Linked DNA regions of Saccharomyces cerevisiae S288C. The gene in region 4 interacts genetically with the main gene of each other region. Each region holds a gene or a part of one and is shown on either strand. Other genes may lie near its edges. The genes, in order: PAU16, COX5B, YER175W-A and AIR2.

Evidence for each region.
Region 1: mutations in AIR2 (region 4) and PAU16 together harm fitness more than expected from each alone (negative genetic interaction), as found in Saccharomyces cerevisiae (one large-scale study listed by BioGRID).
Region 2: mutations in AIR2 (region 4) and COX5B together harm fitness more than expected from each alone (negative genetic interaction), as found in Saccharomyces cerevisiae (one large-scale study listed by BioGRID).
Region 3: mutations in AIR2 (region 4) and YER175W-A together harm fitness more than expected from each alone (negative genetic interaction), as found in Saccharomyces cerevisiae (one large-scale study listed by BioGRID).

Annotation. Positions count from the first base shown.
Region 1 is NC_001143.9:1,284-4,172, reverse strand, and holds PAU16 (seripauperin PAU16), read left to right. Parts: upstream 1-1,991; coding exon 1,992-2,363; downstream 2,364-2,889. Other genes in the region: YKL222C (uncharacterized protein), read left to right, coding at 1-670.
Region 2 is NC_001141.2:153,434-156,305, reverse strand, and holds COX5B (cytochrome c oxidase subunit Vb), read right to left. Parts: upstream 1,085-2,872; coding exon 1,084-1,084; intron 996-1,083; coding exon 541-995; downstream 1-540. Other genes in the region: HPM1 (protein-histidine N-methyltransferase), read right to left, coding at 1-261; HOS4 (Hos4p), read right to left, coding at 1,460-2,872. UniProt on the Saccharomyces cerevisiae protein: Component of the cytochrome c oxidase, the last enzyme in the mitochondrial electron transport chain which drives oxidative phosphorylation.
Region 3 is NC_001137.3:538,961-541,314, reverse strand, and holds YER175W-A (uncharacterized protein), read right to left. Parts: upstream 666-2,354; coding exon 501-665; downstream 1-500. Other genes in the region: TMT1 (trans-aconitate 3-methyltransferase), read left to right, coding at 952-1,851; monothiol glutaredoxin GRX4, read left to right, coding at 2,147-2,354.
Region 4 is NC_001136.10:143,951-147,312, reverse strand, and holds AIR2 (TRAMP complex RNA-binding subunit), read left to right. Parts: upstream 1-1,794; coding exon 1,795-2,829; downstream 2,830-3,362. Other genes in the region: DLD1 (D-lactate dehydrogenase), read left to right, coding at 1-1,487; GID12 (Gid12p), read right to left, coding at 3,090-3,362. UniProt on the Saccharomyces cerevisiae protein: Component of the TRAMP (TRF4) complex which has a poly(A) RNA polymerase activity and is involved in a post-transcriptional quality control mechanism limiting inappropriate expression of genetic information.

The DNA.
Region 1 (2,889 bases), on a different chromosome or scaffold from region 4:
TGCGAGAATATTCAATTTTAGCGTCCTGGCTCCACTAAATTCATTACATTTGTGCTTTAATGTCCTTGAGACCTATTTTGAATTAGACAACAGCAAATTATCTTCTAAGTCATTATGCCTCTCCAAAAAATGGCCCCATTTAAACAATGCGTTGTTTCTTATTTATGTGAACGCTTTCAGAGCATTAATTCAAATTTATACCATTTTTCTACAGTATATGGAAAATAAAGATATCCAATTATTCATTCAGAGAAATTCGTCCGCACTAACTTATTCTATATGTCCTGGAGACTTTGAGGGTCCACACAATAAGTGTATTTCACTGAAAATTGCATTTAAAGAAATGGAAAACATATTTGATCATATTCACCAAGAAAAGTTGAAACCTCTTACTCAAATTTGGCAAAACTCCTATTACTTTTCTATTATTATATCAATGGAAAAAATAGGAAGAAGAGCTTTTAACAAAGGAATGAAAAATATCGATGAAGGGCCTGAAACCGAAAATGATGCAACTGAAAACAGTTTAACAACTATACTAAATGATTTAGAGGGACCTTTAGAAGATTTCTCGGAAAATTTCATCGATGATATATTAGGTTCTCCAAGTGCCTTCTTTGATACAGCTATTTCCGGGTGGAGTAATTTTGAGGACTTCTTTTCCAGATAGGTACAACAATTGAATTATAAAAATTGAACCTGTAGTAAGTGACTCATTTTTTTTGCCAACACGAAAGGAACTCTTTGTGAAAGCTATTGGTGGCACCCTCTGTTCCTTTCGGACTTCTACATACTTTTCTAGATAGTTGCTCTTTTTTTTGGGGTATTTCAGGTGTCACTGCCCAGCTATTTTTCATTTTTAATAACTAAGATAACGTTTGATATGTAAGTTCTAAGTATGTTTCTCTATATTTTAGGTGCACATCATAATATCCTATGTATTCTAATTTGCAAATGAATATTTTGAAAGAGAAGTATTTTATTCCGGAAAAAGAAATTCGATATTTTTCTGGTATATTAATGCTAATTGGTAAGTAAATTCAATATTGTCTAGTGCAGACTCAGATATAGTACTGTCGTTTTGGCCGAATTGAAACCTCTTCAACATATACATATATATACTGTGGTTTAATCACCATAATGACCTTGGGTTTTGTAAAATTTAAGTAAAAAGAAATATTTATTAAATATAATTAATTGAAAAAGTGCCATGTTCGTAGTCAAAAAGAAATGAAGAAGTGCCATGGGAGGCTTGTAATTAGTATTCCCACATTCATTTTCGGACTAAAAGACTTTTCAAGTAAAGTTTAGTATTTATAAACTGTTACAATTTTATTTTTATCATACACGATTCTTTGAACATCAACTTCTCTCAATACCATCCGCCTTCAGCGGCTACAATTACGTAATTGCACCAAGGCATTCGCGGAGAATTCACGAATTTGCAGACGCTAACAGTATACGACTCCCAACACACGTTTAATGTTGTACGAATTCAAGAGATAGAAATATTTCTTGCATGGAAGCCGTTTAGAGCAGACTGAATATGGGCTTAGACAATAAGCTTCTGTACGAGGGTCCAAATCTAAAATTCGGATATTCTTTTTGACCGAAAAAGGAAATGTCACAGGCACAGAAAAGGGTTTTATAAGGCACCTCGGCACCCTATAATTGGCATTCTCACATTCTACGCATACGAATACACATGAGTGCCATAAAACAGTACTCCACATACGAAGTCTATGAAAGATGTATGATTCGTTCAGAAACAAGAGCATCTCCATAGTGATAATGAGATTGTGTGAAAGATGAGATATAGAGGATATGTGAGGTGCTAAATGAGCACTTGTTAACGAATCGTTTAAGTAGTGATGACTGATGAAGGCATGGGTATAAATAGAGCTGCTTCAACTGTATGTCTTTGAGAATATGTTTTTATTCCTTTCTTTCCTGTTAAGCTTATATCAGCACTAAGAAACAAAACAAATATAATGGTCAAATTAACTTCAATCGCTGCTGGTGTCGCCGCCATCGCTGCTGGTGTTGCCGCTGCCCCAGCCACTACCACTCTATCTCCATCTGACGAAAGAGTTAACTTGGTCGAATTGGGTGTTTACGTCTCCGATATCAGAGCTCATTTGGCCCAATACTACTTGTTTCAAGCAGCTCATCCAAGTGAGACCTACCCAGTTGAAATTGCTGAAGCTGTTTTCAACTATGGTGACTTCACCACCATGTTGACTGGTATTCCAGCTGAACAAGTCACCAGAGTTATCACTGGTGTCCCATGGTACTCTACCAGATTGAGACCAGCTATCTCCAGTGCTCTATCCAAGGACGGTATCTACACTATCGCAAATTAGAGACAAACGCCAATTTTACGAACGGGTTTCCATAGACATTGAAAATTAACGAACAAAATAAAATAAAAAAACTACTTTTTTTTTGATGATATAAATACCGTAGATTATATAAATGTATATTAATATTATAAACCTATTTGATCAATGACGGTGTTCGTGAAGCATTTTATGAATATGATAAACATAGAAAGAAATTTTACACTATTGTAGAAAAAGCGTGGACGGTAATAAAGCTAACAGAGTATGTCCAATAAACAACAATGAAATTGGAAGCGTATGACTTCGCAGCACTTTGTCCTTCCATAAAAATGAGTCGCTGCTTCTTTTTTCATTTTTTGGCGCGTCGCGTCGGGCCGTATAGAATATGCGTCACTTCTAAGAACAAGATTGCAGATCAGGGCAGTGCGAGTTACGGAGTCATGGTATCAAACTCTCATTTAGAGACCCTCATTTTTTGACACTGAAAATATCAAAATTTCTGGGTTGCGATAGTTTTTGTGTAACCGTAACCAGAAATAAAGCTGAA
Region 2 (2,872 bases), on a different chromosome or scaffold from region 4:
CTTGATCAATGGTTTTCTATATATCGGAGATTGGAACTCTTCAAATGTCAATCTAACATCCTTAAGACTTTCCAATATTGTTCCTAGGTCTTCCACATTTGGCTGCACAACTCCAGCTTGCGACAAGAAATCCGAATCTAATGGATTGATGTAAGCAGTGGTATTTTCGTTTTCTTTGCTGCTTTCAACGAATGTTTCAGGTTGAGCAACAAGCTCATCATCATCAAAGTCATTGGAAGTAAAGCCGAAGGAAAATGACATATTTTAGCTACACAACACTTCGGTTCTGATTGTCCTTTTCCTCCCCATAGAATCGATGACTTGAACATTTTTATTTTTTAGATTGGACTTTTTTTTTTTCCAATTTTCCATGATTATTTTTTTTCTTCTTCGAAGTAACAATGAATGATATTTGCAGAAGAAGGTACAAGGAACTAAGTAATCAACCTACTGAACTAAGACCAAATGCGTATATATGAAAACAATCTACTTATACCCCAAACACGGAATATACGAAACAATTTTATTTTCCTCGTCTACTTATTTAGATTGAACTTGAGAATAACCTCCCCAAGGATTGGCATTTTTTGACTTCAGATACTCGTCTGATTTCAACTGCCATTCCCTGTTCATAGTCTTTGGAGTTTCAGGATTGGCTAATAGTCTCACTAAACCAAAGAGCCCAAATGAGATTCCTAACCCTAAAAATACTCCTTTAGTTATAAATGCAACATCGCCTTTTCCGTGTACAGGTCTTCTAGGTCCCCACTCGCCGTAGGATATGTACCAAGCTGCTTTGATTTCCTCGTTATTGAGAGTTTTCCATGGAAGCTTTTGACGTTCTGTCAAATTATCTGCAATCTCTTTCTGTTCTAAGTTTGGCATATTTTCCCATCTTTCGGGCAGATCTGTCAATGTTGCCTTCGAAAGGGCCTTTGTTTGAACAAATCTTGTCCCAGTTAGCCGTGCCCCTTTAGTAAGAGAAGTACGCAACACTGCAAAACTTGTGCTTGTACACCTCGAATGTTAGTAAATGGATATCTTTTAAAACTCAAAACAAAAATCAGTGTTTGTTATACATGCTCTTTACAATGAATATGTGGCGTTATTCCATTGTGAAAGTTTCCTGCAAAGAATATTAAATTGAAATAATTGGTCTATTGTTTAATGCAACAGTCATTTATAAAATATAAATCAAATGAAATTCGTCTTTTTTCGTCTTTTGCACGGTATTTTCTGAACCCCTCAGTAATTTTAAGGGGTCCATGACATTTTTTCGAGTACTCGTTCGTTGCCTTATCGAACAATACAAAATCAAAAAAAGAAATTGGTGAGTGTCATGCCGATATAATAATGACAAAACAGTACGATTATATGGAATTATGTTAACATGAATAGTATTTAATGAATCGAAAATGCAACTATGTATGAGCATATGCCAACGGACCGATGAATTGTTTTACCAAAATGGTTCTTTGGATGTCTGCTGGAGGACGGAGGATATGCTCATACGGTGTTGAAATTTAACCGGTAACTCTCGAGGTATTTTTAGAGAACGCTGTTTGCGCGTCGGCTGCTGCGCTTTGTTCAGCTTATCGTTTCTCCATCGTGCAAATTCGTTTATTGATATTTGAATCATATTTCCTTCAATTTCTTTTCTTTTTGCGTGGTTTTCAATAACAACGTTATCCCATTTAATCCACGCCATGGGCAAACTAACAAATTTTTTGTACTCCAAAAGCTCATACCCAATCTTTGTGTCCAAATCAACCCCATCAAAGTTTACAACATATCTTTTATTTTCCATGTTGTTCTTTTTATCATCATAACTACCTCCATACAGGAAAATGAATTTCAACATATTCCACAATGGAGTCAGGTGCGAGGGATCGACGGGAATCTTCTCAGAAGTTGGTTGGTTGTCCTTTGAGAGCAAGTCGATATCCTTCAACAATATCATTACTTGCAAGTCGAGCACAAATTTATCGTTTTTTTCGTCTACAAAATAATATAGCGGCAAAAATCTTTTGTAATCAAGTTTATCGTTGAAGTTAATAATCTTCAGTCCTAACGGATATAAGTCCCTTACTGCCCTTCTATAAGAGATTTCTTCCATTTCTTTTTCCCTTTCCATTTTTCTTGCTTTCTCTAAAGTAGCTTTTTCCAATCTTTCCATTTCTAAGACTTTCTGCTTCTCCTGTTCTTCGATCCTTTTTTTCTCATCTTCGGCCAGCTTTTGTAGTAGTTCCTGTTCTTTTTTTCTTTTCTTTTCTAATCTTTTCTTTCTGTATTCTTCCTCTTCCTTGAGTCTTGCTTCTCTTTCAGCAGCCGTTTCTTCATGTATTTTACTTATCTCTACAGATTTTGCCTTCTTTGGAGAATGAGGTTCCATAGAGAGTGGTGAGATACTTTTTAATTTTTCTTCATCTTGCAAGGCATTTGTTTTACGTTTTTTCCAGTCCAATGAGTATTGAGTACCAACATTTTCATTGTCATCCAATCTCTTGCGCGAATCCGAAGTTGTAGATTCCTTGACATCACGATCGTTATTAAAGTCATCGTCTGCCAGATTGAGCATCCTCGTATCGTCCTCTTCGTCTTCAATTCTAGGAGTGGCACTTCTTCGGCTTGCTAATATGGGTGATTGCGTTTTCTCTCTCTTTTTTTCATGTTTATATGTTTCATTATTATTATCATCATCATCATCATCATCATTATTATCTTCAGAGTGCTTCTTCAAATAGTTATTTATAGCATTTTCAATCAATTGAATTTCTTCACTGTTTGTTATTCCCATTATGCTGTTTTTGGCATAGTACAAAGCGGTACGACCCTTTTTATCTCTTTTGGTTGGATCTGCACCTGCCTCTAA
Region 3 (2,354 bases), on a different chromosome or scaffold from region 4:
GTTTGAGTAAGCTTTGGTTCCGCTTGTTATGACCTGCTTCATTCTCATATAACCTCATTTGTTAAAAATCTAAAAAAGAATCAATTTCTTCGATTATAAGTGCGTACCAAAAAAGCGGCTAATTTTGGTATTTGTGATATCAAATATACATTGCAACCCAATTTTCATCATTGCGCTTGAGTTTACTATTTCAAGTCGGTGTGGTGAAAGGTCTCTCCAATATTTGGGTACCAATTTATCGAAGCAGCTGAAATTTTACGATGTTAGATCGATTCCCGTGTCTGACAGTGTTTGGGCTGCAAATTTTTTGTGCTTCTTGAAGGCAACATGTGAGATCGGGAAGTAAAGCCCGCCAGAGTATGTTCTCAGTAAGTCATATTGACATAACACTTGGATCAATTGCGTATTTAGAAATTAATTCCTGTTTTATTTTAAGATGCTGACATTTCAATTATAGATTTTTAGCCTGTCTTATACCACCTAGAATAATTTGCTAATGTTTAGAAACTGATCTTGGTGCTCACGCTAATATTAAAAAATATACCCTGCCTCAATATCATTATGAGTATTTTATTCTCAAATATCATCCGCGAATTTTCTTGCAGAATATTTCTACAACCACGTTTGTTTTGACTAAAACAGATAAATGTTTTATGTAGTCTCATGCATTGTTAAATGACCAATAAAAAGGGTGTTCCATCAACCTATCTAATCAGAAAAATTAGGTGCAATTCTGCCGTTGTTTACTATAAATGAATCACACCTTATGTGTTGATGTTCATGACTCACAGTAATATCCTTTTTTTTTCTGGTTTTCCGAAAGTTTATCTTCCTTATTTTCATTTTTAAAGGAAAAGGAATGTAACTAATTTAGTATGTTTTCGTTGTAGCAGTCTTTATTAGTTGTTATGAGAATTATCTCCTAACAAGATAACAAAATAAGTGATAATAATGTCTACCTTTTCTGCTTCTGATTTCAACTCAGAAAGATATTCATCTTCAAGACCTTCTTATCCCTCCGATTTTTACAAGATGATTGATGAATACCACGACGGAGAAAGGAAATTACTCGTAGATGTTGGCTGTGGACCAGGTACTGCCACTTTACAAATGGCTCAGGAGTTAAAACCATTCGAACAAATTATCGGAAGCGATCTCTCCGCTACCATGATTAAGACTGCAGAAGTAATAAAGGAAGGAAGTCCTGATACATACAAAAACGTTTCATTTAAGATTTCTTCAAGTGATGATTTTAAATTCCTAGGCGCGGATTCAGTAGACAAACAGAAAATTGATATGATTACCGCAGTAGAATGTGCTCATTGGTTCGATTTCGAAAAATTTCAGCGATCTGCTTATGCCAATTTGAGAAAAGATGGTACTATCGCTATTTGGGGTTATGCGGACCCAATTTTCCCGGACTACCCTGAATTTGATGATCTGATGATTGAAGTTCCTTACGGGAAGCAAGGACTGGGACCCTATTGGGAACAACCGGGGAGATCTCGCCTTCGTAATATGCTGAAAGACTCTCACTTAGACCCAGAACTTTTCCATGATATACAAGTTTCATATTTTTGTGCAGAAGATGTGAGAGACAAAGTAAAACTCCACCAGCATACAAAGAAGCCATTGCTAATCAGAAAGCAGGTCACCCTAGTGGAGTTTGCAGATTATGTCAGAACCTGGAGCGCTTACCATCAGTGGAAGCAGGATCCAAAGAACAAAGATAAAGAAGATGTAGCAGATTGGTTTATTAAAGAGTCACTAAGGAGGAGGCCGGAACTTTCCACCAACACCAAAATTGAAGTTGTTTGGAATACTTTTTACAAACTTGGCAAAAGGGTCTGAAAATTTCAGCCAATAAGCATTATATTCGTGAAATTTTAGTAAGAGCGCGCGTTTTAATTGGTGAAGCCTCGCGACGTATTCACAGATGTCCTAGAAAAAGTTACCATATCTGAAGACTGGTTGATATTTAGCTTAAATAGCATATTAATACTGTACCAGTTGAACCATTTTTTAATCTGTTACTGCCAGGAACGTTGATTCGTTTTCCCGGTAACATTGTTGTCTTTGGGTACTGAGCATATTTCATTTTTCCACTTACATATAACTAAATTTCTGTGCTCTTCCTCCAATAAATATGACTGTGGTTGAAATAAAAAGCCAGGACCAATTTACGCAACTAACCACTACAAACGCTGCTAATAAACTCATTGTCTTATATTTTAAAGCTCAATGGGCTGATCCTTGCAAAACTATGAGCCAGGTGCTAGAAGCTGTTAGTGAAAAAGTTAGGCAAGAGGATGTCCGGTTTTTATCAATAGATGCAGACGAACATCCAGAAATAT
Region 4 (3,362 bases):
CCTCATTGGACTCACCAGACTATTTGCACGACCCGGTTAAGATCGATAAGGTTGTTGAGGACCTGAAGCAGGTGCTGGGAAACAAGCCTGAAAACTACTCTGATGCGAAATCCGATTTGGACGCCCATTCAGATACCTACTTCAACACGCATCACCCCTCTCCCGAGCAAAGACCTAGGATTATATTATTCCCTCATACTACCGAAGAAGTTTCCAAAATTTTGAAAATATGTCACGATAACAACATGCCAGTTGTACCCTTCTCGGGCGGAACGTCCTTGGAGGGGCACTTCCTGCCTACAAGAATTGGAGATACCATAACCGTAGACCTGTCCAAGTTTATGAATAACGTCGTAAAATTTGACAAGCTGGACCTGGACATCACCGTGCAGGCCGGTCTACCCTGGGAGGATTTGAATGACTATTTGAGCGACCACGGTTTGATGTTTGGCTGTGACCCTGGTCCAGGTGCACAGATTGGTGGTTGCATTGCTAATTCTTGTTCAGGAACCAACGCCTACCGTTACGGTACCATGAAGGAGAATATTATAAACATGACTATAGTGTTGCCGGACGGGACCATTGTCAAGACGAAGAAAAGACCCAGAAAGTCGAGCGCTGGCTATAACTTAAATGGTTTATTTGTGGGAAGTGAAGGTACCTTAGGTATTGTTACTGAAGCTACTGTCAAGTGTCATGTCAAGCCCAAAGCTGAAACTGTTGCGGTGGTATCCTTTGATACTATCAAGGATGCGGCCGCATGTGCTTCTAATCTGACTCAGAGTGGTATTCATTTGAACGCCATGGAGTTACTGGATGAAAATATGATGAAGTTGATCAACGCATCTGAATCCACGGACAGATGTGATTGGGTAGAGAAACCAACTATGTTTTTCAAGATTGGTGGGAGATCTCCCAACATTGTCAATGCTCTTGTGGATGAAGTTAAGGCTGTCGCCCAGTTAAATCACTGCAACAGTTTTCAGTTTGCTAAAGATGATGACGAAAAATTGGAATTATGGGAAGCTAGAAAGGTCGCGCTATGGTCTGTGCTAGACGCTGATAAGAGCAAAGACAAATCAGCTAAAATTTGGACAACTGATGTAGCTGTTCCTGTGTCGCAGTTCGACAAGGTTATTCACGAAACTAAAAAGGACATGCAAGCTAGTAAGCTGATCAACGCCATTGTTGGTCATGCAGGTGATGGTAACTTCCATGCATTCATCGTCTACAGAACCCCTGAAGAACACGAAACCTGTAGCCAACTTGTTGACAGAATGGTCAAGAGAGCACTGAACGCAGAAGGCACTTGCACGGGTGAACACGGTGTTGGTATTGGTAAAAGAGAGTACTTGCTCGAAGAATTAGGTGAAGCACCCGTCGATTTGATGAGAAAGATTAAGCTAGCTATTGACCCAAAGAGAATCATGAACCCGGACAAAATCTTTAAAACTGATCCAAACGAGCCCGCTAATGATTACAGGTGAGTATCTGATTTTCCTTTTTCACCCTTCACGTAAACCTGAAATATATTTCATGTAATATATATAGTTCATCCTTAAAGAAAACATACCATTTCAAAATGCCCTTTCCCAGTAGCTAATACATGCTTAAAAATGTGATATATATTATTACCATCAAATGTATTCATGATCCGGGTAGTGCCTTTTTTTCCTTCAAACACTAATGGGATGGGAAGAAACATTTCGAAAAAAGTTATGACTATTGGCAGCATCAGAGAGAATTAAACCTTACCTGTACAACGATAGCAGCTTACATCACTTCCTCGCAGTCATGGAAAAAAATACGGCACCATTTGTCGTCGATACGGCACCCACAACTCCTCCAGATAAACTTGTAGCACCTTCTATAGAGGAAGTAAATAGTAATCCCAACGAATTAAGAGCTCTTAGAGGGCAGGGTAGATATTTTGGCGTAAGCGATGATGACAAGGATGCCATTAAAGAGGCAGCACCTAAATGTAATAATTGCTCTCAAAGAGGTCATTTGAAGAAGGATTGTCCCCATATAATATGTTCGTACTGTGGGGCGACGGATGATCATTATTCTCGACATTGTCCGAAGGCTATCCAGTGTTCAAAGTGTGATGAGGTGGGTCATTACAGGTCACAATGTCCACATAAATGGAAAAAAGTTCAGTGCACTCTTTGTAAGAGTAAGAAACACTCAAAAGAAAGATGTCCTAGTATATGGAGAGCATATATTTTAGTAGATGATAATGAAAAGGCTAAGCCCAAGGTCCTTCCCTTTCATACTATATACTGTTATAACTGCGGTGGAAAGGGGCACTTTGGTGATGATTGCAAGGAAAAACGATCATCTAGAGTACCTAACGAGGATGGAAGTGCGTTCACTGGTTCTAATTTGTCAGTTGAGCTAAAACAGGAATATTACCGTCACATGAACAGAAATTCGGACGAAAATGAAGACTATCAATTTAGTGAGTCCATATACGATGAGGATCCACTACCGAGACCTTCCCATAAAAGACATTCCCAAAACGATCACTCTCATAGTGGCAGAAATAAACGTAGAGCATCGAACTTCCATCCTCCTCCTTATCAAAAGTCTAATGTCATTCAACCAACTATAAGGGGCGAGACGCTGTCACTCAATAATAATATTAGTAAAAATTCACGGTATCAAAATACAAAAGTAAACGTCTCGTCGATATCGGAGAATATGTATGGCTCCAGATATAACCCTTCTACTTATGTTGATAATAACAGCATTTCCAACTCTTCCAATTACAGAAACTACAATTCTTATCAACCATATAGGAGTGGTACCTTGGGGAAAAGAAGATAACTTTAAATAGGAAGCCCTTTAACAAGCTGTTCTTGGTTACATTATATTTTCTTAATGAAAGATTAAAGACAATACCTAATTCGACCATTAATCAAAATAGCATGTAAATTTCTTACATCTTCTTGTTGTGAAAAAAAAAGGCCTTCGTGCAATCACAGGTAATAATAATAACATATACATACATATACGTAAATACGTCTTATAACTCCTGCTACCTCATACGCTATTTTCTATTATGGCTAACATCTATGCAACTCAATTTAGTCTCTTTTTACCTTTTTCACAATGAATGTATAAAGGTCCTTTTCATCGTAATCTAACCTTCTTTTTTGTGCATTTAAACCGTCATAATCGATTAGAGCAAGTTTGTCGACAAACCGATCTTTTCTATTTAGCTTTAGTGAATCGCACAGTTTTATTCTTCCTAACCTGCAGTTTTTGAAAAATTCGCCTTTAAGAACAGTTATCTCTCCTGCCATTGATGTTACCACCAAGTGAAACGTAAGGGCGCAAACATTGTCTGTGCCTACGTC